7 linked regions of the Rattus norvegicus genome follow. The protein of the gene in region 5 interacts with the protein of the main gene of each other region in a pairwise test. Links are inferred from orthologs where the notes say so. Each region holds a gene or a part of one and is shown on either strand. Other genes may lie near its edges.

Region 1 (4,052 bases), on a different chromosome or scaffold from region 5:
GGCACTCACGGGGTGCAAACATTGCAGCCCAAACACTCATACACATAAAATAAAACATAAATGCTTTAAAAAAGGATAGATGAGTTGGTAATAAATATAGATACATAAATAAATGAAGCTTTGTCGCCCCTGCTCCCTTGTCCAAGCTGTTTAATGTCCAAATACTCCCACTTTCAGGAACTACTGAACGACTAAGCGGAAAGTAATCTGTCCCTCCTCATCCTCTCACCGCATCCGGCTGTGGCTTGCCTTTGCGCAGAGGACCGGACTCGGTCCTTCGCAAGGCTGCTCTTCTCCCTAAGTTATGCGCTCTTGGGGACCAGGGCCGTGACCCAGATCGTGTCCACCGGGCACCAGGCGCATGAGTTAGTGCTCAAACGAGCCTGCTGAGGCAATGTGGAAAGTCACTCGGGGGAGGACCCGGCGCTCGAGGCGCGGGTGAATGATTCACCGGGTATTTCTTCGCATTCCTTACGGTTCAGTCACGTCGGCGCAGCACCCAGCCGCCCGGCAGCTACCTGTGGAGTGGAAGCGCACCTCCGCCTCCACCTCCGCCTCCGCGGCCAGCGCACAGCAGAGGCCCGGAGGGGGCGCGCAAACCCGCGGGAGGGCACTCGGCCGCCTCCCCGCCCCCTCTGGCGGCGGAAGCCCCGCCCCTCCGCGCGCCCGCCCTCCGCGCGCACCCGCCCTCGCCCTCGCCCTCGCGCCCTCGCGCCGGGGGCGGGCTCGCTGCGCGTGCCGGGCGGGGAAGCGGCGCGAGCCGGCGCCAGGAACGTTCGCCGCGGGGGCGGCTCCGGGGCCTGAGTGGGCGCCGCCGCCTCAGTCGCTGCCGCTGCTTCAGCTGCCTCTGCCGAGGGGGCCGGGTCGGAGGAGGCTGCGGCCGCCGGAGAGCCACGCGACGGCCCCTCAGCTTCGGCCGGGAAGCGAGCCAGGTGGGGAGTCCGCCGGGGCTGGAGGAGCGAAAAGGAGGGCTGCGGGGTGGCGGAGCGCGCGGCCCTGGAACGGCGACCCTTGGGAGACCGCACGCCGGGCCGGAGAGGGCTCTCCGGTCACCCGGGCGCGCGGGGGGCCGCGGAGCGCAGAACCCGGCTGCGCGCGCTGCTGATGCAGCCTGAGCCGGACTTGCGGGGAGGAGGCTCAGCGTTAGGTGCTGAAGGGGGCGAAGGCGGCAGGTCCTGGCAGAGGGCAGGTGAGGTAGGCAGGCCCTGGCAGAGGGGAGGGAATTCATTCCAGATCACCTCTCAGTGTCTCCCGAGGCTCCCGGTAGACGAACCTGTCTACTCAGGTCACCTCTGATGGGCACAGTGTCCCGAGAAGAGCGAGGATGCAGCTGACGAATGCTTACTGTTAAATTCCTGTGCCAGGCCTTGGGGAATCAGGGAGACCTTTCTAGCATTCTCTGCAAGCGTTTATTGATTAGCTACGGAGCAGGAGAGAACCGCGGTCAGCGCCCGGGTCACGACTTTATCACTCTCAACCATCATTTATTTGCTGTTGAAGTGCTGACAGTCCGGCTGTGAAAGTATACACACAAAATGTAAAGTGCTCTATTTTATGTTTCTTGTTCTGTTCACTTCAGGTCTCTTTAGGATTTTCCCAGCCCTGGGAAACTGGGCCGTAAGTTGCTTGGCTTGTGGAGAAAGTAAGATACTTGAGGAAAGCTGGTGGGAGCTATTGGGAAGAGATTTGAAGGGTCTTACTGACATTTAAAAGAGAGGGGAAAGAAATTTGGAAGGAGAATCTTGCCTTCCCAACTAGAATTAAGCTCCGCGCCTGTTTTCTGCCCAGTCCTCAGGATGTGGCCTGGATCCCGAAAGCCCTACAATGGATGCCCACTGCAGGAGTGGATGGAGGGACCAGGGTTTGATACATTTGATATGAAGTAGTGTCAGTCTCTGTAGAGTTAGGGATGCTCGCTGGCTTCCTTTGGTCCTAGGATTCTCTTTTTGCCTTCTCAGGTAACCCAGGGTTTTAGACGCTAAACCAGTGGCTTAGGTGGCAGACTCCGGTGGCTTGTGGCCACTTCTTCATCCACGCGGTTCTTGTATGTTGTGCACCAGAAGCTTGTTCTTTGGGTGGCTGCTTGAAGTCAGGTTCCGGTCCTTCTCTCATTGGCCTTTTCCCCCCTCCTCTGTCGTTTGAGGAGGACTGGAGGGAGCTTTTGCCTAGAGAACACTTTATAATTTCTATCCTGCCTCTTGGATCTTGGTTCTGAGGTGAGAGAATGCTTAAGTCTCTTCAGGTCTGTAAGGGCTGGAGTTCTGTCCTCTGCCTTGCTTGGACTCTCCAGCCCCATACTGCTGCTTCCTTTCCCTGGCTTGCAATGCCTGTTGGATTACTTTGCTTGCCAAATTAAAACTTGACCTTTTATGTGTTCTCTGAGGATTTTTATCAGACTTAAGTGGAACTGCCTCTGAAGGGGTTGTGCAGGCAAGGTGGTGCTGGCAGGGTCTTTAGCTTCACTGAATTTTGCCCGGGAGACAGAATATAGTTAAAATATTAGAGTGCGCAGGATTTCCAGTTACCCTTTATTTCATGTCTTCAGATGTTAACATATCTGACCCTTAGTCTCCTTATATAAAAAATAAGAGCAATATTAATCCAAATTTGTCATTGGATATATAGAAGCCTTGAAGTATATTCATTTAGTTCATTTTAATTAGTATTTGCATTTCAGGGTACAACCATTAAGTCTCTCTTAGGTTTTGTTTTGGGGTGCCTATGTGGCTTTGCAAATTTGGGTGTCTTGTTTCGGGCACTTCTAATATTTTATTTAGATATTTAATTTACATTTATTTGAAAATAAACCCTCTACCCCCGGTTTTTGAAGCAGGGTCTTGCTGAGTAGTAACCCCAGCTATATTGGTACTCGAAATACAGTAGCCCAGGCTGTAAGTTGACTTTGAACTGTGGCTATCCTTCTGTTAGTCCTTCCTGTGAAGCACCATGGCTGGTTAAAACAAACTTTTTGTTTGTTTGGGTTAAAGATAGGGTCTCTCTCTGTCATTCTGACTTTGAACTTATGTCTATTCTCCTATCTATGTGTCCTGGGATTACAGGTGTGCACTACTGTGCCTTCTTCATGTGTAGTTTACATAGGATAAAATGGATAGACTTTGCATATTGAGTTGGGTATTTTGAAAAAATGGTACATATTGGTGGGCATGGTGGCATATGTCTTTAGATTGAAGTCCTTAGGAGGCAGAGGCAAGCTGATCACTTCAAGTCCAGCTAGGGTTACATAGGAAGACACTGTTTCAACAACAACAAAAAAAGCAAAACAAAGTAACAAAAGTCCCTCCCCCAAGAAAACAAACAAAAAAAGAAAAGACATGTGTACTTTGTAACCTATCCCAATCAAAATATATACTTTTGTATCATGAGAAAGTTAACTCCTGCTGTCTTGGGGACAACCCCTCCCTCTATTTTATTAACTTAAAATTACATAAGCATTAGAGCTGTGGTTTCTAGATGTGCTGGAGGTACGCTGCTGTTCTAGGGTGTCTTTTGCACTGGAGTCTCTCTGTGCTGGCAGCTCCTGGAGTTGCAGTAGTTTGAGCAGTTCAGAATGCATATTTGCTTGTAAATTGCTCCAAATAAAACTCCCTTGACATACCTACTCCTTTTTCTACTCCGGTTACCAGTTTGTTGTTTTCTTCCCAGGCCTTTTTCTATGCATTTTACTTTTTTTGCATGTGTATGTGGTATGGGGGAGTCTGCATATGGTATCCATGTACCATACATTGTATATGCCTGTGAAAGCCCAGAGTTGACACTGGAGGTTCTCAGTTGCTCTCTTACTTATTTATTAAGTTCAGCCTCCTCCTGAACCTGGAGCTGGCCAATTTGGCTAGTCTAGCCAGTCAGCTCGTTCTGATGACTCCTGTCTGTCTCTAGAGCGCTGGCATTGTAGGTGGCTGCTATACCTGCCTGGCTTGTATGCGGGTTCTAGAGATTTGAACTCCAATTCGTATATTTGCGTGGCAAGTGCGTTATCCACTGAGTCATTTCCAGCTCTCTTTGCATTTTACTATAGCATTCTGTCTAGGTTG
Region 2 (4,051 bases), on a different chromosome or scaffold from region 5:
CACAAGTCTTCCTCTGACTTCCACATACACTCTGGCTGGTTGCGTGTCAATATGACACACAGTATAGTACTATCATCAGAGAGAGAGAGACAAAATTGAGAAATAACTCCACAAGATTGGATTGTACATAAGCCTGTAGGGTTTTTTCCTTAATTAGTGACTGGTGTGGGAGGGCCCAGCCTATTGTAAATATTTTTGTAAAGCATTTTAGGCCATGTATCCAATATGAATCTACTACATAAGTTAATAAAGGTCATGCAGAACACATGATAAACGACTAGAGTTCCTTAATCTGCACAGAGAAAGAGCTGTTCCCAAACTACTTAGCAGCAAATGCCAAGGGTGTACATTTACTAGCATCTCCAGATGTCTCTGGTGAGTAGATTCATGAACAGCACACAGAGTGAGAGCCCTTCCTCTCTAATAGCTGGCTACAGCAAGTGGTGTCACTGCCTACATTAATACCTAGGTTAGAAAAAACAGTATGCTCTTGAGAAACAATTGTAAACTCTGTTCAAAGGTAGATCTAAGCTGGCTCTGTGGTACACTGCTTACCTACCATGCATTGAGGCCCTGGCCTCAATCCCAGCACACCATATACGCAAAACTGTTTAACATATAAGGCAGCAAAATTGGGGGAACAGATGCTCAAATGAGCAGCCGTCATTCTTTCAGGGGCATATTAATGAGCTAACAGGATTTCATATCTTCCATTTGTACTTTATATGTTTATGATACGGAAGCCATGGCAAAGTCCACTGTGATAACAGATGTAAAAACCTTTGGAAAGTACACAAGAAACCCCAAATGCAAATCAGTAGTAAATTAGCCCAGAGGTTAGGGTTTGTTCAGACTTGTGACACCTTCATCTAGATCAGAAGTTAAGAATTCCACAAACAGCCCCAAACATATTTTGTTTACCACTCAGTAGACTGAGATACTACAACTGTCTGTTCCTGATAACCTCCTGTGGAGGGGGATTTGGCTGATGGGTGGACCAGGGCACTGGAGAGCTGTTGTGTGACAGCTTCAGTTCAGGCCAACAAATACTAAATTAAGTTTCTATTATGATGTGTTATATATGATGTTAGATATGGGAGACCGGTCTGTTCTTGAAGGTTTTGCATTCTTCTTTAATATGGTAAAGAAGAATCTCTTGCTTGGGTTATAGGAACTGCTTTCATATAATAAAATGTTGCAATCTCACCGTGGTTGCTTCAGTCCTCAAGTATCAAAGCAGGTCATCAATCCTTACGGGACCAGTGTGAAGTAGGCTAAATGTCTAACAAACTTGTCTTCTGGACACAGAGAAATGTGACAGCGAACTGGCACTGTAGCTGCTAGGCAGCTTCAATTATAGTAGTACAGGATCTGTTTGGGCTTAGGTCATTTGCACATTAAGAAATCAAGACAGACAGAAACTTTAAAAAAAAAAAAGCAAATTACCACCTCTCCAAAAAGCTACCTGTTTTCCTTTTCTACTTTCTAAGTACGGGTCATTCAAGCTCAAAACTACCCCCGTCCCCCACCGCCCCTGTCAGATTCACTGGTGTTTAACAGCCAACTCAAAAAGATATTAATTTTCACGAAAAGTTTGGAGTGGGAATAATTACACAGAATAGCACAAGCAGGATGCTTGAAAGGATTCCCGAGGACCCCTCTGTATGGTGGTTAAGAATGTCTACTCTGGAGTCTACAGTGAATACCTAGTCTCCCCGACAATATCCACTTCAGCCTGAGGTAACTATTGCAGCACCTGGTGCTATTGGGGGAATTAAAGGAGTCTAGCAGGGTGTTAAGGGTTTATCGGTGTCCTCAAACACAAAATCCTACTATGAATGTGGAAGAAAATGGGCCACTGGATTCAGACTGGGGACACTCTTGACATTGTCTCTGGAGATGTCCAAGGAAGGATTATTTTTCATTGAAAATCCGAATGCAAAGATAAGGACATGATAGAGCTGCCCTCAAATAATTTCATCTAGCCTCTGATGAATGATGGCTAAGTAATAAATTAAAACACACACACAGAGTTTAACACTGGGTAGGTTATAAATTGGGATGCTAAGATCTGAAGTGTCTACAGACTCCTCATTTCAAGTGTGTGTGGCATCAAAAATACTCGCTCCCATATTCGGCTTTGGGGAATCCACTTAAATCTTTTAGCTTCTGCTTTCTGGAAAACGGGATAACAAAAAATTATTCCCACAGAGTGATGGCGCGGGTACCGCACAGCAGTACTGCCCCCCCACCACCTGCAGCGGCTTGCAGAGTCTGCGGACCATGAAAGGCGAAGTGGGGCGGGCAGGGCAGCACGACCCGGAGCCAGGTCAGCAGCTCACTTCTAGAGCAAGTCAAGCTGGTTCACCCCTGCCCACCTCAGAAGTCCACTAAGGGGATGGATCCGCTCATCCTCCGCAAGCGCTTTCTTAAAGCGCCAAGCATCAGCCAGGGTGGCGCATCCGCAGGGCCGTGGGCCGCGCGCGCTTATTCTCTGAGGTCGGGATGGGCGGATCCGTTGCCAGGTGAGCGCGAGAAGCCCCTGGCCGCGCATCCCAAACCTCCAGCCTAAGGAACTTTCTAGCACTTTCCACACCTGCCACCCCCGGATTCCCACCCCCAACCTCCCAGCGACCTCGCCCTCACCTTGCTGGAGGTCCCGGTGGTCATACCAGGGCTCATCCTCTATCTCGAACTCCTCCACAAGGTTATCTGCCAGCATGTCGCCGGGGACGTCCGGGGGCAGCGGGCTTTGCCGCCGCCCTGCCGTTTCGGCCGCTGCCCCGGGCTCTCCCCCGACCCCGCCACCCTCAGCCAGAGCCACCCTCGGGCGGGACGCGCCGGTCCCGCTGCAGCTCCCGCCGCCGTCCCGCGCCGCCCAACGGCCCGCGCCCTAGCGAGCGCGCCCCGGGTGGCGCCGGGAGCCGGCTCCTCAAGCCCGCTGCCCGGCCCAACGTGGCACTTTGGCAGAACCCTCCCAAGCCGGGGAGACGATTCAAACCCGGGAGGCGCCTTGACCAATCACGAATGAGCCGCTTGTAGAGTGACAGCGACCTCAGCCAATAGAATATCAAAAAAGGTCGCGGGTCCGCGGACCATCAGCCAATAAAGGCTTAGGAAGGAACAAAGGAGGCGGGGAGGCGAAGAGGGTGCGGTCGGCAGCTCCTCCTCTTTTGTCTGCGTCGCGTCTCCTCAGTTGAGTGCACTCCAGTTCCGGAGTGTGGAGGAGGTTTCAAGCCGATCCAGTGTGCCGAGGACTACGGATTCTGGGCACCGGGCATCCTCTTCCCACACGAGGGTTTCAGATGCGGGTCAACTCTTCTCCGCCCTGTCCTCGGTGGTGCGCGGAGGGAGACTCAGGGTCCGTTGCGAGGTTAAAGGCGAGAGAACGCTACTGAGAGAAAGCTGCTCCTCAATGTCGGAGCCCTTGGCCTCCCAGGAGCATGGACGTGAACTCCTAAAGGGCAATCACCAGCCCCACCTCATACTTGGAGTCTGGGGCTGGCCAGTCAAAGCCGCCTCCCCTGAGAAAAGTTACCACAGTTTTAAAAGCATAGAATTTCTTAAAGGTTCGTAGAGTGTAAGATAAACACCTAGGAGCAGGCCTTGTACTTGGTGGCCAGCTTGCCAGAGTCAGCTTGTTGACGCAGTCTTCACCACTGTTTCTTGGGTTAGACTTTTAGCATATTTGGGTACCTCACATTGGGAAACTCTCAGACGGAGAAAGGTCGACGCAGATGTTTGGGATGTTAGAATTGATAACAGTTATGGAGAAAGGAATTGTAGCAACTGAAGAGGGGAGAAGAGTAAATACTCAGTTTGGTAGTACTGATTTGGTAGATATCTCCTGAAGTTATTAACTCCTTGGCATAGACCCGGAGTGTCACCAAAACTAAAGTGGAAAGCAGTTGTAAGTTTGCCTTAACCAAAAAAAGCATCAGTCGTGGCCTTAAAAATAGTGTACACAGATTACTATGGTTTAAAACAGAAATTGCTAGGAAGAAGTTACAGATCCTCAGAGTTAATTTTATTTCTCTATATAAATGAATGA
Region 3 (3,500 bases), on a different chromosome or scaffold from region 5:
CTTTAAAAAAGAAGAAGAAGAAGAGGAGGAGGAGGAGGAGGAGGAGGAGGAGGAGGAGGAGGAGGAGGAAGAAGAGGAAGAAGAGGAGGAAGAGGAAGAGGAGGTAGAGGCAGGAGAATTAAAAGTCGAAGCTTAGTTTTAGCTGTATAGCCTGTTCCAGACCAGCCTGGGATTCATGAGATCTTGTCTCAAAACAACCCCATCAGGGCCAACAGGACAGCTCGGCAGGTACGAGCACCAGCCACCAAACCTAAGTACCTGGATTCGATGCCCAGGCCTCTCTTTGTGAAAGGAGAAAACTGACTCCTGTCTGGCTTTCACGTGTGTGCAGTTGGACATGCTTGCATGAGCATACATACATACATGTGCAACAAGTAATAAATGCAAATTCTTTATTTTTTTTGTTTTTGTTTTTGTGTTTTTTTTTATTTTGTGCAACAATGTTTCACTGTGTAGCTCTGACTGTCCTGGAACTCTTTGTGTAGGCCTGGGTGATTTGGATCTCACAGAGATTGGCCTGCTTATGCCTCTCAGGGACACCATGTCTGCCATAATAAAACAGTCACGTGGCGAGCACTAACTGTGGGGGAGTGTCACGAGCTCCTTCTTTCAGACAGGAATCAAGTCCCACAGAGACTCAGCAATGGTGCCAGACAGGAGGTTGGAAAGGCTGTGGCTGCTGCTTTTGGGAAACCTCTACTCACTCAGCTGCCTCCTCCTTGGCCCCTATTCTAGTCTCATTTCTATCGCTGTGAGGAAAAAAAAAAAGCAACTCAACGGAGAGGGGTCATGTTTTAGCTGACAGGATTGAAGCAGCTAGTCACCTCGCAGTCAAAGTGGAGAGAGAGAATGAATGTTTGCATGCCTAGTGCCCAGCTAGCTTTCTCTCCCCATAGCCCAGGATCTTCTGTGTAGGGAATGGCAGCACCCACAGTGGGCAGGGTCTTCTCACATCAGTTAACATTGATAATTAAGACAGTCCTTCATCGACATGTCCCTAGCTAAGCTGATTTAGGTCATCCTCATTGAGGAGAGACTCTCTTCCCGGGTGACTCTAAATTATATGAACTTGACACAACTCTCGAGCCTGGAGAAATGACTCTGTGGTCATTATAAACGCATTAGTCCTTGCTGCTCTTCTGGAAAACATGAGTTTGGTTCCTAGCATTCATGTCTGATAGCTCATAACCACCTGTGACTCCAGCTCCAGGGCCTCTGACACCCTCCTCTGGCCTTCTCAAGCACCAGACTCATGTGCATATACCCAGACAAACATATATGTATAGATTTCAAAACAAAAAAGGACAGCCTCCCTTACAGTCCAGCCCTTCTCCTCAGCATCAGGGTCCCTCTGCTCTACCCTGTAGATCATCATGGACTCCAGCATCTCGAAGCAGGCCCTCAGTGAGATCGAGACCAGGCACAGTGAGATCATCAAGTTGGAGAACAGCATCCGGGAGCTACACGATATGTTCATGGACATGGCCATGCTGGTGGAGAGCCAGGTGAGGACCCTCGTCCCCGATGTTGCCCTCGGTCCCAGCAACATCCAGGGCCACACTAACCCCTTCCCTTTCCACCCAACACGCTGCCCTGCCCGGGAGGGACAGAGTATCTTCAGGTAACCATACTGTTGTAAGGGCCTCCAGGGATCCCGTTGCATGGCTCTGCTTGCTCCCCTAGGCCCTGCATGGCCCCACCTCTCCCTCCAGCCCTGTCCTGGCTTCATGAACTACATCAAGGGCCACTATAGACTGGCTGCCTTGCTTGGAACAAAAGGCATAGCAATGACCATGCATGTGCGTGTGTGCGTGGACCTTATACTTTTGAGACAGGGTCTCTTGTTGAATCTGGAGTTTACCAAGTCACCTATACTGGCTAGCCAGTGAGCCACAGATCCCCTTGTTTCCAGCTCCCAGAAGTTGGGTTACAGGTATGTGCCACTGTACCTGACTTTTTACATAGGCGCTGAGGACCAAAACCAAGGTGCTTGTCAACTGAGCCATCTCAGTCCCCATTACCTGACTTGCAAGTTTTTCCTTTCTATTTTTTTAAAAAAAAAAAAAAATTCTCGAGACCATATCTTGCTATATAGACCAAGTTGGCCTTGAACTCATAAAGATGTGATTGCTTCTGCATGCCCCATGCTGGGATAGGAGGACGTGCCCATGGCATAACATATATTCACTCAGAACTTGGTCTACTCAGGGCTTCCTTTGCCCAGACACACGTGTATGGCGGAAAGGGACCAGCTAGGAGGGGCTCCCAGGAGCAGCAAGGAGTGACGTCCAGCTGAGGGACCAGCAGTACCAAGAGCTCAGTAAGAGGCTAAGCTTGAGGAGACAGGAGGGCTGAGGGACCCAGGGAGTGGTCAGGGCCAACCCAGAGTTGGAGACAGATGATGTGGTAACGGGTAGTCTCATATACGCCAGCCTCAAATTTACATAGCTTAAGACTACCTTGAACTTTTTTGTTTTGTTATAATTTATTTGTTTTTCATTTTTTTTTTTTTTGGTTCTTTTTTTTCGGAGCTGGGGACCGAACCCAGGGCCTTGTGCTTCCTAGGTAAGCGCTCTACCACTGAGCTAAATCCCCAGGCCCTTTTTTCATGTTTTTTTAAGTGTATGAGTGGTCTGTCTTCGTGAACACCTGCATAGCAGAAGAGGGGATCAAATTCCTTTGTAGATGGTTGTGAGCCAACATCTGACGCTGAAACTCAAACTCCCAGACCTCTAGAAGAACACCAAATGCTCTTAACTGCTGAGCCATCTCACCGGCCCAATCTTGGACTTTTTTAAAGAATTTTTTTTTCTTTTCTTTTTTTCGGAGCTGGGGACCGAACCCAGGGCCTTGCGCTTGCTAGGCAAGTGCTTTACCACTGAGCTAAATCCCCAACCTCTTAAAGAATTTTTATTTATTATTTTAATGCGTGTGGGTGTCTTGTCTGTATACATGTCTGGGCACTAAGGCCTGGGACTCCTGGAGGCCAGAAGAGGTATCTGATTCCCTGGGACTGGTGTGATGGATGGTTGTGATTTGACAAGTGGGTGCTGGGAATTGAACCAGTGTCCTCTGTGACAGCTACCAGTGTTCATAACCACTAAGCCATCTCACCAGTCTAACACTGAACTTTTTTATTTAAAAAAAATTTTTACTGAGCCATCTTACCAGTCTAACACTGAACTTTATTTAAAAAAAATTTTATGTCTGTGTCTGTCTGTGTATCTGTGTCTATCTGTGTATCTGTGTCTGTGTGTCTGTGTATCTGTCTGTGTCTGTGTAGCTGTCTGTGTCTGTCTGTGTCTGTGTGTCTGTCTGTGTCTGTGTATCTGTCTGTGTGTCTGTGTATCTGTCTGTGTCTGTGTGTCTGTGTCTGTGTATATGTCTCTGTGTATCTGTCTGTGTGTCTGTGTATCTGTGTCTGTGTGTCTGTGTCTGTGTATATGTCTCTGTGTAGCTGTCTGTGTCTGTGTAGCTGTCTGTGTCTATGTAGCTGTCTG
Region 4 (4,064 bases), on a different chromosome or scaffold from region 5:
TCAGTGGTAGAGCGCTTGCCTAGGAAGCACAAGGCCCTGGGTTCGGTCCCCAGCTCCGAAAAAAAGAACCAAAAAAAAAAAAAAAAGCCGTATTTTCAAGTAGGTCCCTCTCTGTCCAGTCTTCCCCTGTCTCCTCTGCCCAGACCTCGTGTCCCTCTGGAATCTTTAGTCCCACCGGGATGATTAAATTGGATGACCTTCAGAACTCCCAAAAGCCCTTGGTTTTGATGATTCATGAGATGATTTGATGTAGCGTCAGAGAATGCAAAGCACATAAATTAACTCAGAGAAAGGTAACTGGAGGGGCCTACAAACAAAACAGCCCATGTCCCCAAACAAAAACCATGGGCCCTTGGTCCCCTGTGACGCTCTGGAGAATTAAGCCCACCCAGAACAAGGCAGAGAAAACTCCACACCACTCCCCCTCCCAGCACGGACTCTCTGCTCACTGTCTGCATCATCCTCCACAATAGCAGAGTCCTCTGTACCCCACCCGCGCACACACACCAGATTGGAGGCTAAACCATCTTCTCAGTATTGCAGGCCTTTGGATAAAGGCAACTCCACCCTGCTAGCTCATCTTCTAACAGCTGTCCCGAGGTGGCTGAGGTGGCTGATGTGGGCAGCCAGCACATACAAGCCATCAAGGATCCTCCTCAGACTGAAAGGGGAACCTTTTCTCGCCAGTCAAGCACTTTTCATTCCTTTCCAATTTGCTTCATTGTTTCCTTTGCCATGCACTCTTATTTGCTCTCCTAGACTACAAGCTCAGTGACGCCCTACTGAGCAGAAGGCAGTCAGCAGGCACTTGTTGGCTGAAGCCTTGTGCTATTCATTTGGCCTTCATTTTCCTTGGGATGAAAACTTCCCTGACTTTCTAAGATTGGGCTAAATGTTCCCACAGCCAACAATATCAAATAGTATCACAACTTATTTTATACATTAATTTTCTAATACGATGAGGGGTTATGTCTTTTCCACTCGCCTGTGGTGGGATTTTAATCCAGCAACATGGCTACTCAGATTAGAACACTGACATGCCCTTAGCACACACCTTTTATCCCAAACAATGAAGGTAAAGTTAGTTTGTAGAAGGAAGCAGCCATGTGATGTCTACTTTCAAACTGAGAGGCAGACAAAGTGACGAATCAGAAAAAGATTTGATAGAATAGGATATGCCCAGCTCTCAGGAAAAGAGAAAGGAGAGAGGCAACATAAGAGGGAGCAGAGCAGAGGGAGAGGAAGGAAGGGAGCTTTACTGGGAGTTTTACAGAGGCAGGTTGAAGAGAGAACAAGTTAGACACAGGGAAAGACTGAATGAGCAGGAGCAGAAGGTTAGAACAGTTCGCTAGAGTGAGTGAGTTTGAAGCCAAGCAGAGTAATTCAGTCAGAAGCAAGAGATGCCAGTTTGAGTCAGAACAGCTGGGCGCTGAACCAGCCAGCCAGAGTTCAGAGAGAGCCAGGAAGGGTGAGCTTATTCAGCAGTAAGTCTCAGAAGCTGAAAACATTCTAGGCTTCTACAGAAGCTAGAAGTTTCTAGGATTAGTCCTAGGTTAGCAAAGCCTTTTTTTTTTTTTTTTTTTTTTTGGTTCTTTTTTTTCGGAGCTGGGGACCGAACCCAGGGCCTTGCGCTTCCTAGGCAAGCGCTCTACCACTGAGCTAAATCCCCAGCCCCAGGAACAAGCCTTCTTAAACAACCACCCCATCTCTCCAGTCCCTGATCAATATTTTATGACTACGTTTACTCTGTAAAACAAAGGATTAAAATCTAATCCGATTACCAGTCTTACTAGACAAACCTTCCAAATCTGAGTTTTCTCAAGTATAAACACTTCACAACACCTTCTGAGAAATGTCCACATCACTCAAAGACAACACATTTGGGAGGTTTTTATGGGCTTCTTTTCATACAGAACCTTTCAAAGCTTGTAAAACTTCGAACCTAGGGACATTTGGGAGTTCTTCTCGGTCTCACACAAAACGGACTTGCTTTCAAAGATCCCTTCGGATTCTATTTGACTTAGCAAAAACACAGCGCAAAACACACCCCTGTAAGAACAAAGGTGCAATTGCAATGCTTAGTAGGGATTCCTAATCCATCCAGAACTGGCTCCGTAAGATTCAAACGAGTGTGACATCCGGAACGTAGGGCTCAGAGGGGTGTTCTCGAATCTTACAGATCCCGTGCAAGAGGATTGCGGAAGCAGCGGCGTCGTTTGTTTTCCCCAGCTTGCCTGTCTTAAGGCTGCTCCTCGACCTTCCAAACAATTATCCCCAAATCCTTGCTCCAGTCACCCACCAAGTTTAGCGCCTGCACTATTTCTCTCCCGGCAAGCCATTGGGGAAAGGCTCTGGAATGAAAGAAAGCAATCCCAGATGGCTTCAGCACCAAAATTTCAGGGGAAAACCATTTCCAATGAGCGGCTCACAGCCAAGTCTACCACGCTTACCAGACAGACGCTCCCAGTTAACCACGGCCTCCAGAACCGTTGGTTCGCGGGCAAAGACGAGTGTCGCGGTGGCATCTGGGAGTTGTATTTTCTGTCGCAAACAGAGCGCGTCGGTAGCATTACAACTACATTTCCCGAAAGCCAACGCAAAGACGCCCTGCCTACTGAATCTGGGGCTTGGCTGTCACTAATTTTTAGGCTAATCTTTAATTATATCCCACTTATACTAGGAATACTACAAAGCACCTTTATTTGTTCGTTTTTTCTTGTGCGATAAACATCTCGGGGCATCCGTACTCCTTAATTTCCTTTACCCTTCTTCAAGCCAGCGCCTCCAAACGTCGAGAACGGACAACGCCGCGGAGAGCGCATGCGCCTTGGCCGGCGTCGCGCATGCGCAGCAGCCGGCCTTAGCCGGCGGCGCGCGTTGGACTCGGGGTCCGGAGGTACTCTGCCCGAGGGCGGGGCTGCTTCCAATGGCTGCCTTTGCGGGTCGCGTGTGCCTGGGCGGAGAGGCAGGCATGGGGCAGGGGCGGCTCCCGGCGGTCCCGGGCGGGGACAGGGGAGGGGCTGGGTGTGAGGACCCCGTCTCCCCTCCCTGCTCCCGCCTTCTGGGCCGAGCCCCACCGACGGGGCTGGGCGAAGGGGCGGGCTCTGTGCCTGGGGCCCTGTGCTTCAGCAGCGCAGCCCGGGGCTCGATGACTGCTGGGTCGCTGGGTGCCCTCTGGCTTGGCGGAGGTGGGCGAGGACAGAGGGGTAAGAGAAGCACGGCGTACCCCGGAAGACAGGAACCGGCAGGGTCGGCGACGCTGCCCTCTGTCGCCGCTGACACAGTGACTGGTGGGCACTGGAGTCCCCGGAGCACCGGAGCCTCAGGCCCCAGCAGCTAAGGGCCAGGGTCTACCGCCTACCCCCGCCAGCAGCCCGCCCGCTGCCCTGCCGAGGCGCTAGGAGGAGCCGACAGGGGCGGAGACTGGTGTCGGAGGAGGGCGGGGTGGGAACACTAGAAAACTGGCCGCTGCACAGACAAAAAATAAAAAAATCGAATGGCTGGAGAACCTTCTACTGTTACCAGCCTTTTGGGACCAAGCACGGATTTGACAGCTCCACAACGCGAGGATATCCGCTGACCCTGCGACACCGAGAGCACTTCCCCGAGACTCCCTGTCCAGCTAACCAGCTCTGTGAGATTGCAACTTTCCAAGTTGGTTCTTTTCCATCTCTGTCAGAAGACTGCCCTTTCGTGTGGGAGAGGGTGCCTGGGTGAACCGCCTTGTGGATCGATTTGAAAGCATCAACTTTAAAAAAGCACGTGTGATTCCCAGTGCCATCCAGACGCCTGCTTTCGTGACCGCTGGATTTTTCTGACTTTATTCTTAACCAATCTCTCTCTCAAAAAGACTGAAAAAGAAAAAGCTCACGATTGTCAGTCATGGCCGAAGGAGAGAATGAAGTGAGGTGGGAGGGTCTGTGCAGTAGAGACCCAACTACTAGAGAGACAGCACTGGAAAGCGTTAGGCAGATTGTTCTGAGAAAAACCGAGTACCTTCGTTCTGCCAAAGAGACACTTTCTCGACCTTCGGACGGGCTTTCAAATGGTGTTTCTTTGGATGG
Region 5 (3,972 bases):
CATGTAGGAGCACGTGGTACTTTGCAGAAAGTGGGGCAGGGCTGAGTGGGAGTTTACCAATCCGCCTAAAGCCAAACCTCCTTGCTACAATCCCCTCCTGAGGATCCAAGCTGGTGATGTCAGAAGGCGGGGCATACTTGGTCTCAAAGCCTGTGATGGCGGAGAATGGTTAAGATGGGTTTTAGTTGGATCTGAGGTAGAAGCCAGCATAGTCAAAGACTAACAGCCAGGGCTACACGGAGAAACCCTGACTGGGCTGGGTGGAATGGAATGGGGCACTGGGGAGAAGATTAAGAAAAGGATGGGTGGTGTCAGGCTTCCAGGTTTGAATCCGCAATAAGCACACAGTATTGATGGATGGAGCCATAGATTATTTACCCTTTACCTGGGCATGGTGGCCCGTGCCATTAGTCCCAGTCTTGGAGAGACAAAGACAGGCAGAACTCTTGAATTCAAGGCCAATTTGATACACCTAGAGAATTCGGGGCCTGCCAAAGCCACACATGAGACATTGTCTCTAACAAACAATAGTACATACTTTTTTCTTTTAATTAGCCTTTTCCGTACTGCCCTATATTTCCCAGATCTCTGAGTATAATGTTCTTTCTCTGAGTAATTATGAGGACCAAGCTATTACATACGAGGGAAGAACACATTGTTTGGATTATTATAAACCTTCTACTGGAATGGAGAGGGGAGGGATACTAGGCACATAACAAATTAGTGGTTTGGGCGTGAGATAAATATCTCCTAATTCACAGTTTACCCTTCTTTCTCTCTTCCACTCGCAAGTCCTCAGAGATCCTAAAATAGTCATACATGTTCATAAGGGAGTGTATGAAAAAAAATCCAGACTGCCAAAGTTTAAGGGCCAATCATAGTTTCTGTACTAGGAAGGAGGCTGACACGAATCTCTAGACCGAATGACATAATTTCGGACCCTCAGGGTATTTGGCTCCTAAGCTTTTCGGTTGCATCTCGGGAGTTGTGACCTGCCGCAAGGCATGAAGGGACTCGTAGTTTTTCCCACTCCCGCCTCCAAAGCCGCCTTGGCCTCTTTTCCCAGCAAGCTCCGCGCCAGCGTTTGCTGTTGATTGGCTGCCGCAGGAGAGGGTGGTCCAGCTGGCAGCAGTTACCCAGGTTTCCGGTGCTCGGCCAGAGTCGGGGACGCGGTCGGACGTCCGCGGTGAAGTATGTCTTTGGGCTGTACACGGGACGAGCTCTTCAGAGGGTCCATGACCCAGGACGCGTTAGCCGCGGAGGAACAACTAATTCTGTGGACGGGGTGGGGAGAGTTGTGTGCTGCCGTGCTGCGCATGCGTACTTCGGGTCTAGAGGGCGCGTGGGGTGTGGGTGTCTTCTGTGTACGCGCGCGCGCGCGCGGGAATCCCACGTGGGACCTGGTGGGGCGGGGGGCCGGTCGGGACTGGAGCATCCCGCCACGTCAGTCTGCGGCTCTGAGCCAATCCCGCGCTCCCGCTGCCGAGAGGGAGCCGTGTGGTGCTGAGAAGTGGCATTCAGGAGAAGGGAGGCCTCTTCCTTCCTTCACTCTGTGCTGGTGCAGCTTCTCGGAAACCTTGCCCGGGACCGTGAAGTCTCAGGCGAAGGCCGACCAGTTTGTTTGAAGCTTAGAGCTTCAGATTTGGAGATTTCTCATCTAGGTTGTGAAGAATTTTGAAGTCTAGAAAATAGCAGCGGTGTCCGTAAAGGATCTACCCCTTTTCTGGCCTTGCAGATCACAATGAAGAACCAAGACAAAAAGAATGGGCCTGCCAAACACTCCAACCCGAAGAACAGCCCTGGGCAACGGGAAGCAGGACCGGAGGGAGCTCATGGACGGCCCAGACAGACAGCTCCTGGTGCGGAAGCTGAAGGTTCCACAAGCCAGGCTCCTGGGAAGACCGAGGGTGTGTGCCAGCTCTGCTTTTCCAGTGGGCAGAGGGAGGAGTTTCTGGTACTTGCATCTATCTGAGGCCAGTATTTACCCAGGAAGGAGGAACTATAGAATGAAACAATGCCCATTCTGTGATCCTCATGTTTCCTAGGGAGGTGATGAAGCTTTCCACTCTTAGCCCTGGAACGGAACCTTGGGGGCATGCTCTGACTGGTTTAAACCAAATGACAATCAAATGAGGCGCCCCATAAGCAAAGTCATATTCCCACTTGCCAGTGCCCGGTGATTAATTGTCCTTCATAAGACAGAGCGTCTGCTACACGTCAGTCGTCCCTCTTGTAGGGGTGCTTTACACAGTTGTCTTTGATGGTCATAACAAGTATGTTTGGGTGTTAGAAATAATTGTTTCGTCTTATAAAAACGTTTTATACGACTTAGGGTTTAAAAAAATTAAATTGAGGCCAGGCATAGTGGCCCTCACCTTTGTTCTCAGAACCCAGAAGTCAGAGGCAGGTAGATCTGAGTTTGAGGTCATCCTCATCCTCATAGTGAGTTCCCAGACAGCCAAGGCCCTGTAGAGAGAGCCTGTCTCAACTGAATAAATAAATGGAACGTTTAACCCACACAAGTGGTGTTTGTCTGGGCTTAAAGAAGAAGAAAACCCAAGGGAGCGGTGTAACCACCTAACGTTCACTGTCTTCATCTTGTAGGCGCTCGAGCTAAAGCATCTCAGTCTGGGGCCCTCTGTGATGTCTCTGAGGAGCTGAGCCGACAGTTGGAAGACATTCTGAGTACATACTGTGTGGACAACAATCAGGGAGGCCCAGGTGAGGAGGGAGCTCAGGGGGAGCCCACTGAGCCTGAAGACACAGAGAAGTCCCGAACCTATGCAGCCAGGAATGGGGAGCCTGAACCGGGCATTCCAGTCGTCAATGGCGAGAAAGAGACCTCTAAGGGGGAGCCTGGCACAGAAGAGATCCGAGCAAGTGACGAGGTTGGAGACCGAGACCTTCGAAGGCCACAGGAAAAGAAGAAAGCCAAGGGTCTAGGTGAGGGGGAGCTCCTGCTGACGGGAGGGAGTGAACACTTGCCATCTCATGGGCTAGCCTGCTCTGTCTGGACACAAGAGAATCTGCTTTTCAAGACAGTACATCCCCCCAGTTTAGTCAAAGATGGGGTCATCCCATTGAGCTGTTCAGATCACTCACTTGTGCAAGGCCTCCTGGCCTTGGGAGCCAAGTGGAGGCAGGAATCCAACTAGCTTTCTCACTGGGAATATGGAAAACCGGAGGGAGGCCTAAGTGCTCGACAACACCACTTTCAACCTGCTGTTTGACTTTGGGCATGTTTATTCTCCACTCCTAGAGAGGGTCTTAGTTTCCCTGTTTGTACAGCAATAGAATTGGGCTACACCAAGGTTGAAATATCAACATGGACCAGGTAAGCCACAGACCTCTTCAGAATCAAGAAAGGGCCTTCTTGATCTGAAAACCTGACTCCTACCTGGTTAGTCCCCCAGTCGCATCTGACCAGCTGAATAATTGGTAACCAAAATAATAGAAAGTAAGCAGAGGCCTCCATTGGTTGGATTTGCCATCTCCGTGTTACCTTTTGGGCCTCCCAGGGCTGACAGCTCAGAACCTGGTCTGTGCTGAGTACAGTGGAACCCAAGGGAGACAGCTGTAAGGCTTCCCGGCTGAGGTAAAGCAAGGCAGTGGCAACCTGGCACCATGGCGTACACCTTTAACCTCAGTACCTGAGAAGCAGGAGCAAGTGCATCTCCTGAGTACCAGACCAGCCAGCTGCATAATGAAACCTTATCACAAACAAAGGACAGGAGTGATGGGACAATGTGAAAATACGAACTTAGAACCTAATGCAAACCAAATATGGTAGTGTATGCCTCTAATGGGGAACTAGGAGGAACAGAAGCAGGAAGATGCTGAGTTCAAAGCCAGCTTGGGCTACATAGCAATACCCTCTCTTTGTGTGTGTGTGTGTGTGTGTGTGTGTGTGCGCGTGTGTGCGCGTGCGCGTGTGTGCGTGTGTGCGCGTGTGTGCGCGTGCGTGCGCGTGCG
Region 6 (4,107 bases), on a different chromosome or scaffold from region 5:
AAGGGACTTTTACACCTGTCATCGGTGGGGTGGGAGTTTCATTGGTTGGCGGTTACCATTTCACGATACTTGTTTCTGGGTAGAATTGAGACTGTATCAAAAAGCACTTGGAAGAGGAGTTTTGGGGGAAAACAAAAATTGCGTGCATAAATCTATATTTAAATATATATCTCCTTTTGTGGAGGGGCATAACATCTCAGGTATATATAATTTTTGCCCATTGAAACAAAAAAACAATTCTCTGTGGAGAATTTTCCAGCAATCATCTGGTACACAGGCTCTCCTTAGCAAGCAGCAGCACATACACTTCAGTCACACGAACATACATAACAGCGACGGGAAGTCAAAATGTATTTGCTTTATAGAAACTTAAATGAATAGCCACAGACAAAATTATCTTTGGGTTGGGAATGGGGAGAGGGTGGAGGTTGGTGAAGATGATCAGGGAGATTAGTGGCAAGGGGTTAATCCGTACCAAAAGGGACCAGTATCCTTTTTGGGGAAAAAAAAAAAAAAGGAGACTTAAGAGGAGATAAGTGAGTTTTAAACTAATAATCATGATGATTTCCAAGGAATCACAATTCTGGTGATGAGAAGTAACTAGCCAGTCCTCTGCAGCTGAAACCACTCCGTGGGAGTACAGACAGCAGAAAAATCTCCCCAACCCCCATCAGAACCCTTGCGGACAAGCGGATTGATAGCCAATTGTGGCAACTGAGAGTACCTCAGGACACTGCGCAGAACCCTCCTCTGGGATACTCCTGCGGGGGCGAGCACCCAGTTCCGAGAGGAAGGCGAGAACTGCAGGGCTGGCCCGGGTCCACGCGCGCGATCGCCACGTGCGTGCTCGCCAAGCTCACAGCCTTGGTTCTAGCAGCGAGGGGTGCGGCCGAGCCACGCCCCATTGGAGGACCCTCGGTGGGGTCCATATCCCGCAACACAGTAGGCCGTGGGCTTGGAAAAAGGTCCTTGGGTTCTGCATGGGCAAGGACACTTTCCCGAACCACAAGGAAGGGGTCACCTCTGTGGTCCAGGGGCCCGGCAGGGCGCGGCTGCGTCTTTGTGTGGCCAGGCAGGGATGGGCTTGGCCCTGAGACCCTGAGCCAGGCCAGGTGTCTGCACACCCTGAGGGGTTCGAGGCTATTCTGAAAGGCGGGGCTAGAAAGAGGGGTGCCAGGACTGCACTGTTCTGCAGCCCCACCCAAGTTCGTGGGAGCCAGCTTGGAACCTAAGTCTCCAGGGCTCCGCAGACAGGGTGGGGCAGGGCAGGGTGGAGCCAGTCCATATCTTTTTTCCTGCTGTGCATCCACAGCCCGGCCTAGGGGAGGGGGCCTTCCGGCCGCCTCCCCAGTGCAGGTCCCTTCCAGCCTGTGCACCCCAGGGCAACGAGAGAAGCACAGGACCTTTTCCGAATGAAGGCCCTGGATCTGGACTGGACTCTAGTGGTTTTACATAGCCCAAAAGATTTGGCTCCGTCTGACCCATAAAATTGAAATTTCACGTGGTTCATCTTAAAGACCTTGACCTCTTTTGCTTTATATCATCCTTACACTTCTTTATCTGTATTATTTTCTGTCTACCCTTCTAAGTTCCCTAAACGTCCTCCCTCCCTCCCCCCCGAAATGATCTAAGGAGTTCAGAATAGCTCCCCACCTCGCTTCTTTCTCTTTTCTGATTTTTTTCTTTTGCTACTACGTCTAAACATCCTATTTAACGTGGTTCTGAGAAAATACGTTAACCCACTCTCCTCTCGTCCTATGAAGAACAATGAGGCCAGGGTGGAGCGTCTGAGGTTAGTGGTCAGGTCTCTGGCAAGCAGACTGCTAGTGAGTGAGTGGGGCGTGGCGGGACTCCGCTGTTTCCCCAGGGTTGGGTTCTTCAGTGTCTTTCTGGGCTACCCATTCGCCCCCTTTACTGAGGGTGCAGAGCTGGGTAGGGATGGGGACCGCTTGACTCCTCACAGGGTGGGGCGGTCCGCATAGTGTGCCCAGCGCTGCAGGTGCCCCCCCCACCCCGACCATAGCTTCACACACAAAGAAACCCCACCCCGGCGCCTTGGGAAGCCAGGTCCCTTTACCCCTCCCCACCGCGCAGGCTTCCCCGCCCCTGCAGCTGCCCACCCGCGCCCTCCACGCCCTCCTTCTGTTTGCCCTCCCTTTTCCTAAAACAAAGAAGCTAAGGTCCTACCCCACCCCTCCGGCCGCCTTACCTCCCTGCACCGCGCCCCAAGACTAGCGATTTTTCCGAGAGACAATACCATTAAATGTGCCCACTCCCCTCCCCCGTTCCCACCCATCTCTCAAACCTCCCGGATGGGACCGCTTTGACTTTGCATTTTCTCTTTTATTCCAGTATCACCCCTCCCGTTCCTATTTTCTCTTTAAACTACAGAATAAATATAGGGCGTTCCAAACCACTTTCCGAAATGTCCCTTCACCTCACTGAAGGCAGATCGTTAAGGTAGCCCCCTCCCTTCTTATGGCACTTAAATTTTAAATATGGAAGCAGAATAAAATTTCTGCCCATCGTAGGAAAACTTACCTGCTTCTATCTTTTAAAAAGAAACCATTTGCTTTAGTTTTTCAAAGACCCCCCTTCCCCTTTAGTCTCTTATCTACTCTCAGAGCTCCCGCCGACCTTCCCAGCTCCTGTATCATGAATGTCTTTCCCTTTATAAAATATCTTTTAATGTCTTCAGAGAAAGGGGAGAGATTGCTCCAGATAGAGCCTGTGGGGAGCGAAGCGCGATTCTTACCCATTGCTGTTTTAGCCATTGTAGGGATGTGCACGCTCGGAGCGGTGGCAAAGGCGAAGGAGAAGGGTCCAGCTGTAGCCGCGGAGAGAGCGAGAGAGGAGTCTGAGTAAGGCACTGAGTCTGCAGAGTGGGACCGTGCTAGAGAAAGAGCGAGAGGCAGGAGCCCATGAATAATTATCACGCAGAAGCTCAAGCAGATTGGCTCTCAGGGTCCCCTGACATGACTCCTGCAGAGTCAGAATCTCCAAGCATTAAATATTGATCGGCCAATGGTGCTGGAGTACAAAGTACCAGAATGCAGTTTGAAATGGAAATCAGCTCTTGCCTGGAAGCTCCCCCCCAGTTTGGAGCCCGATAGTACAGTCCAAGTGCAGTGGTGCCTTAGCCAGGAAGCCTCCTAGGAGCTAAGGACTGGGCTGTGCTTATCTGTACCCAGGAGGCTATACTTTGCTTCAAACATGTGTCACTGCATAGATTGGCAAAGAGAAGGCCCAGGGGCCTGAAAACTCACCCCAGTGTGCCGAGTGTCGGAAAAGTGGTTTAAAGCTTATGTTATTACTGTTTCTTGTTTTCTCTTTCACCTTTGGCCTTGCCCTTGGTAGATCCTGACCTTCCTAATAGGTGATGGAATTCCCAAACTAGCCCACGTCTGATTGTGGTAGTAGCTCAGATATGGCCAGGGCTACTCGTTTTCCCTTCTTGCATAGTTGGGCTCCATAGTCCATAATCTCAGGAAAGTTTCCTAGTAGAGGGGGGTGGCCTGGCCTTTCCTCTCTAACATAGAGGAGAGAACTGTTGGCTACTTGGGCACAGGGATATAAATTCCACCTAAGGACATGATGCAAGAGAGCAGGAGAACCTGGACTAGGAATGGTTTCCCTGCATTCACAGTCAGATTAAGCAGTATGAAGTGCAACGAACTTTGAAACAAATTATAAACAAGGCATTTACTTATTCATTTATTCATTCACTTAAAAAACATTTAGCAAATGTCCAATTTTTCTCAATTCATACATATATATGTATTAATATATATATTAATAAAAGGCATCAGTCAAGATAGATATGAATCTTTTAATCCATCTCACTCTCTTATCCAATCAATAATAACTCACTATCTGTTTTACAGTAATTTATACTAACCTATCCCCTCTTTGGAAAATCATACAGAGCTGTGGTGAAGTGGATGGAACTCCAAAAAAGCCACAACTGTGTGTATGTATATATATATATATATATATATATATATATATATATATATATATATATATACTGAGCATCTGCACTGCACTGGAGAAAAAGCCTTAGGGATATAAGTCCTAGGACTTTTAATGTACAAGACTGAACTTTAC
Region 7 (3,494 bases), on a different chromosome or scaffold from region 5:
GCCATGCTAGTGAAGGAGAAATGTTGCTGTCGCCAGATTCTAAGTGTTAGAAATGAGTGTGTGTGTGGGGGGGGGTGCAGGGTGTCCTCAAGAGAATGATCACACAATCCAAAGACATGAAGTTGTATTCCTGCCAGAGTGGTCCAGAGCCTTACACCCGTTGGTCAACTCCATGCCTATGTGGTTGAGTGACTCAGAGCTGCACTGTTGGTCAGTGAGCGAAGCATAACTTTGAAAACAGATCGCAACCTTAAATGCATACTTAGATCTTAGAAAACTTCGGGCTCTAAGGAGGGATTTTTGCTCATGGGTCCCATGCCAACCTCTTTAGAGGTGGTGGCTCCTTGATCTCGTTTAACCCTCTGATAGGAAAGACAGTGCATTTCACTTACAGTTTCCACAGCAGGTCCATGGACCGAGACCTCATTTAAAAGAGGACACTGGACAAAAAGATAACCTGGCAAGGCTGGGTAAGGTTGCCGAAGTGTTCGTCTTGTAAGTATGAGGATGGCTATGGAGACTGCACTCAGGAAGCAGCTACACGCAGATCTCTGGAGCTGACCAGCCAAACCATCCAGTTTTCATTTGGTTGGTTTGGGTTGGGCTTTGGTTTTGTTTGTTTGTTTGTTTTCTTGTGAGGTGTTTTTGGTGAACTCCAAGCCAATTAGAGATGTTGTCTCAATAGTAAATAGACGAAAGAAAAAGTAGATAATGTCCAAGAGATGACACCCAAGGTTGTCCTCTCTGCTGTGCATGCATGACCCTCCCCATACACACTCTTGGGACCAAACCGGAGGGCTGCATGGTTTACCCTAGCAACAGGAGGTTGGCAGGAAAAGAGCACCCTGAGGATGACTAAACCCAGGTCCAGCCAGAGTTCCTAAGATTGTGCATGGGCTATAGAGTTGGGTCCAGGGTTGGTGTCTGTGCTCAGGCTGTGGGGATAGCCCCACGCCCCCCGAGTGACAGAATGGCTGCTGGTGGTGTGCTCAGAGGAGCCCAACAGTAGTCAGCAGGAGGCAAAGGTTGTGTTCTTTCTGTTCTGCCTCTGCAGAGTAACGGAAAATTCCAGGTGATCATGCGACAGAAAGATGTCATCTTGGGGGATTCCATGACCCCAAGTCAGCTGGTGCCGTATGAGCTGCCTTTAATGTGGCAGCTATACCCTGAGGAAAGGTACCGAAGCAGTAACTCCGAGTTCTGGCAGATAGTGTACCACATCAAGGCAAGCACCTCTTACCCCAAGGACTGAGTGGGCAGTCTTGGGTGATCCTGGTCTCTGGTCTTGGCATGGGCTAGCTCTATATTCCCTCAACCCTGGCACCAGAAGCTAATAGAAGGGGAACTAAATGCAGATGTTTCTCTAAGGGTTGGATAAAAGAAGCCATCGTCTGAGGTCTTAGCCAAACCCCTTGTCACAAGGAACCCTCTTGTGGTAGTCACTGACAGTCCCGTTGAGAGGGCTAGCCACCTCACCTCGGGTCCCAGTACTAACCCAGGCTGAGGAAAGCTGAGCCAGAATGAAAGGGGAATTCTCAGGGCTGGTCTGACCACTCCTTTGTCTCTCTCCTTCTCTACCCTCAGTTCAAAGATGATGAGGACATGCTACTTGAACTGTTGGACTCTGAGTAACGTTGAGACATGGTGAGTGCCCCAAAGCTCCATCTGGAGGAAGGAGGGCCCTTCTCTATGAAAGCTGTGACAGCCCCTCCCCAGCAGCTGTCCTCAGAGTGCCCAGAGTAAGACAGACTTCCTGGAAGTGTCCATGTCTCTCCTTTACCACCTGAGGAGCTCCAGCTACACCCATGTTTACAGGGCCCCATTGTTCACCATCAGTTGTCTATTAAGAGATGACTGCTGAGCCATCCCACCATCTCAGCTGGGGATCTGCAGATAATTACACACTGAAGCAGGTTTCTCCATTTTTTTTTTTCTTACCCACTCCCTTCACGGTGGTGCTGTTTGGCCCTGACCCAGGCATAAGATCCAACTTCAGCATCAGGAGCTGACTAACCACCCACCCAGCAATCCCCAGTGCCTGCTCCTTGGCTGTCCCTCTGACCCTGCCTTCTCTCTCCCCAGGCCCTGCAGCTCCTGTCTCCCTTGCCCAGGCCTGAGCCCACAGGGGAGATGCTGGTACTTACATTTGCTCTGTTGGCTAGGCATGTTCTTTCTCCTCCACACTGGGCTCCAAGAAGAAAAGTCCATCCAGAGGCTGCCCCTTCCCATGTTCCTGTCGCCCGCTCTGCTGCCTTGGTTGGCCCTTCCACTCTACCGGCTCCCTGGCAAGGGGTTCAGGGAAGATCCCCATTCTCCTCACCTCCTCTAGGTGCCCAGTGGTGTCTGCACCTCTGATCTTCTCAGCTGATTGATTTTTTTTTTCTGCCTTTCCCTTTTGCCTCTCAAGACAACTAGTGTCTGGCTTGCCAGTTTGCCTTCCCAAGGGGCCCTCAGTTGTACATATGCCATGAGGGACGAGACCAAGTCATTTGAATCCGGCAGACCCCAGGTCCGCCATCTCTCAAGGTGTGCTGTGGCGCCTGTACCCACCTGGCCTGTGAACCGTCACCTACCCAACAAATGCAGACGTGGTTGGAAAGCAGTTTAAGACCAGAGAGCTCCATTTCCCTGTCGTAGAACCCGGGTGCTTGCAGCCAGGGATATGCAAACCTCACTAGAGCAGGAGGCCAGGGAATGGAGCTGATTTAGATGAGCCCTTAGCTTGCCCACTCTTGGCCTCTCTCCCTTGGTGTTCAGATACTGTATTGAATATAAGCACTTCCTGTTAACCGATTAAATATCTCACTCACCTAAGTTGGGCCGAACTGGCTTCTATCCTTGACCAAGATGCCAAGAAATAAGAGAGAAGACTGCTCTGGGTTCTCCCAGAGAAGCCGTGGTCTTCCAGTAAGAATGTTGAAAGGGAATGTGTGGGATTTTATATGTTTCTATTTTAGAGATAAGGCCAGACTTAATAAAGCTTTATAGAACTCTATAAATTCTCAAACCTCAGTGCTCTCAGAGTTATGATTTCAGAACCGTTGGAAGCGGCAACAACCTCAAAACCGTCCTTACTGGCCAGTCCTGGTACCCAGCCCCCTTGATATGATCCTACCTTTGCCTCAAACCCCTGAATACCCTCAGGTCTGGAATGCTGTCCTTCCAAGTGTGCGTTCTATTTCTCAGTCCCAGCCAGGTCTCTTAAGGTGAAACTCCCACCACCACTTTCACCCCAGCCCTCCCTCCCTCCCAACACCCATGCCCTCAGACACAGTCTAACCCAGTCACAGGCTAGCCCCTCTCCCCTCCTCCCTGCCCTGTTCTCTGCTGGTTGTCATGACCTGCTGGTCCTCACTCTCCTTAAGAGTAGGGCCTCAGAAGACAAGGGTTACCTTAGGAAAGGAGCCAGAAAGGGCCTTGGGGCATCCTGCTTCCTTCTTATCTCTGTACAGTGCTAGTCCTCAGCTGCCCCAAAGATGTGGTTGGATAAGGAA

What was found.
Region 1: the proteins of Txlna (region 5) and Dtnb interact in binary tests that used the Homo sapiens proteins (3 or more experiments, as listed by UniProt). The two-hybrid records come from large-scale screens. The link is inferred for Rattus norvegicus from reciprocal best matches to the Homo sapiens genes TXLNA and DTNB.
Region 2: the proteins of Txlna (region 5) and Cdr2 interact in binary tests that used the Homo sapiens proteins (3 or more experiments, as listed by UniProt). The two-hybrid records come from large-scale screens. The link is inferred for Rattus norvegicus from reciprocal best matches to the Homo sapiens genes TXLNA and CDR2.
Region 3: the proteins of Txlna (region 5) and Stx1a interact in binary tests that used the Homo sapiens proteins (3 or more experiments, as listed by UniProt). The link is inferred for Rattus norvegicus from reciprocal best matches to the Homo sapiens genes TXLNA and STX1A.
Region 4: the proteins of Txlna (region 5) and Cep57l1 interact in binary tests that used the Homo sapiens proteins (3 or more experiments, as listed by UniProt). The two-hybrid records come from large-scale screens. The link is inferred for Rattus norvegicus from reciprocal best matches to the Homo sapiens genes TXLNA and CEP57L1.
Region 6: the proteins of Txlna (region 5) and Stmn2 interact in binary tests that used the Homo sapiens proteins (3 or more experiments, as listed by UniProt). The two-hybrid records come from large-scale screens. The link is inferred for Rattus norvegicus from reciprocal best matches to the Homo sapiens genes TXLNA and STMN2.
Region 7: the proteins of Txlna (region 5) and Tcl1a interact in binary tests that used the Homo sapiens proteins (3 or more experiments, as listed by UniProt). The two-hybrid records come from large-scale screens. The link is inferred for Rattus norvegicus from reciprocal best matches to the Homo sapiens genes TXLNA and TCL1A.

Annotation. Positions count from the first base shown.
Region 1 is NC_086024.1:32,285,230-32,289,281, forward strand, and holds the start of Dtnb (dystrobrevin beta), read left to right. Parts: upstream 1-1,252; 5' UTR 1,253-1,522; exon of another isoform or gene 1,523-1,537; intron 1,538-4,052.
Region 2 is NC_086019.1:184,956,237-184,960,287, forward strand, and holds the start of Cdr2 (cerebellar degeneration-related protein 2), read right to left. Parts: upstream 2,801-4,051; 5' UTR 2,723-2,800; coding exon 2,647-2,722; intron 1-2,646. Other genes in the region: Mfsd13b (transmembrane protein 180), read left to right, coding at 3,416-3,569.
Region 3 is NC_086030.1:27,282,472-27,285,971, reverse strand, and holds part of Stx1a (syntaxin-1A), read left to right. Parts: intron 1-1,367; coding exon 1,368-1,505; exon of another isoform or gene 1,506-1,621; intron 1,622-3,500. UniProt on the Homo sapiens protein: Plays an essential role in hormone and neurotransmitter calcium-dependent exocytosis and endocytosis.
Region 4 is NC_086038.1:46,874,048-46,878,111, forward strand, and holds the start of Cep57l1 (centrosomal protein CEP57L1), read right to left. Parts: upstream 2,801-4,064; 5' UTR 2,742-2,800; coding exon 2,697-2,741; exon of another isoform or gene 2,571-2,696; coding exon of another isoform or gene 2,451-2,570; intron 1-2,450. Other genes in the region: Sesn1 (sestrin-1), read left to right, coding at 3,883-4,064. UniProt on the Homo sapiens protein: Centrosomal protein which may be required for microtubule attachment to centrosomes.
Region 5 is NC_086023.1:147,266,474-147,270,445, reverse strand, and holds the start of Txlna (alpha-taxilin), read left to right. Parts: upstream 1-1,172; 5' UTR 1,173-1,285; intron 1,286-1,735; 5' UTR 1,736-1,741; coding exon 1,742-1,907; intron 1,908-2,604; coding exon 2,605-2,943; intron 2,944-3,972. UniProt on the Homo sapiens protein: May be involved in intracellular vesicle traffic and potentially in calcium-dependent exocytosis in neuroendocrine cells.
Region 6 is NC_086020.1:95,156,536-95,160,642, forward strand, and holds the start of Stmn2 (stathmin-2), read right to left. Parts: upstream 2,801-4,107; 5' UTR 2,775-2,800; coding exon 2,756-2,774; intron 1-2,755. UniProt on the Homo sapiens protein: Regulator of microtubule stability. When phosphorylated by MAPK8, stabilizes microtubules and consequently controls neurite length in cortical neurons.
Region 7 is NC_086024.1:129,889,263-129,892,756, reverse strand, and holds the end of Tcl1a (T-cell leukemia/lymphoma protein 1A), read left to right. Parts: intron 1-1,054; coding exon 1,055-1,225; intron 1,226-1,584; coding exon 1,585-1,632; 3' UTR 1,633-1,644; intron 1,645-2,082; 3' UTR 2,083-2,994; downstream 2,995-3,494. UniProt on the Homo sapiens protein: Enhances the phosphorylation and activation of AKT1, AKT2 and AKT3. Promotes nuclear translocation of AKT1. Enhances cell proliferation, stabilizes mitochondrial membrane potential and promotes cell survival.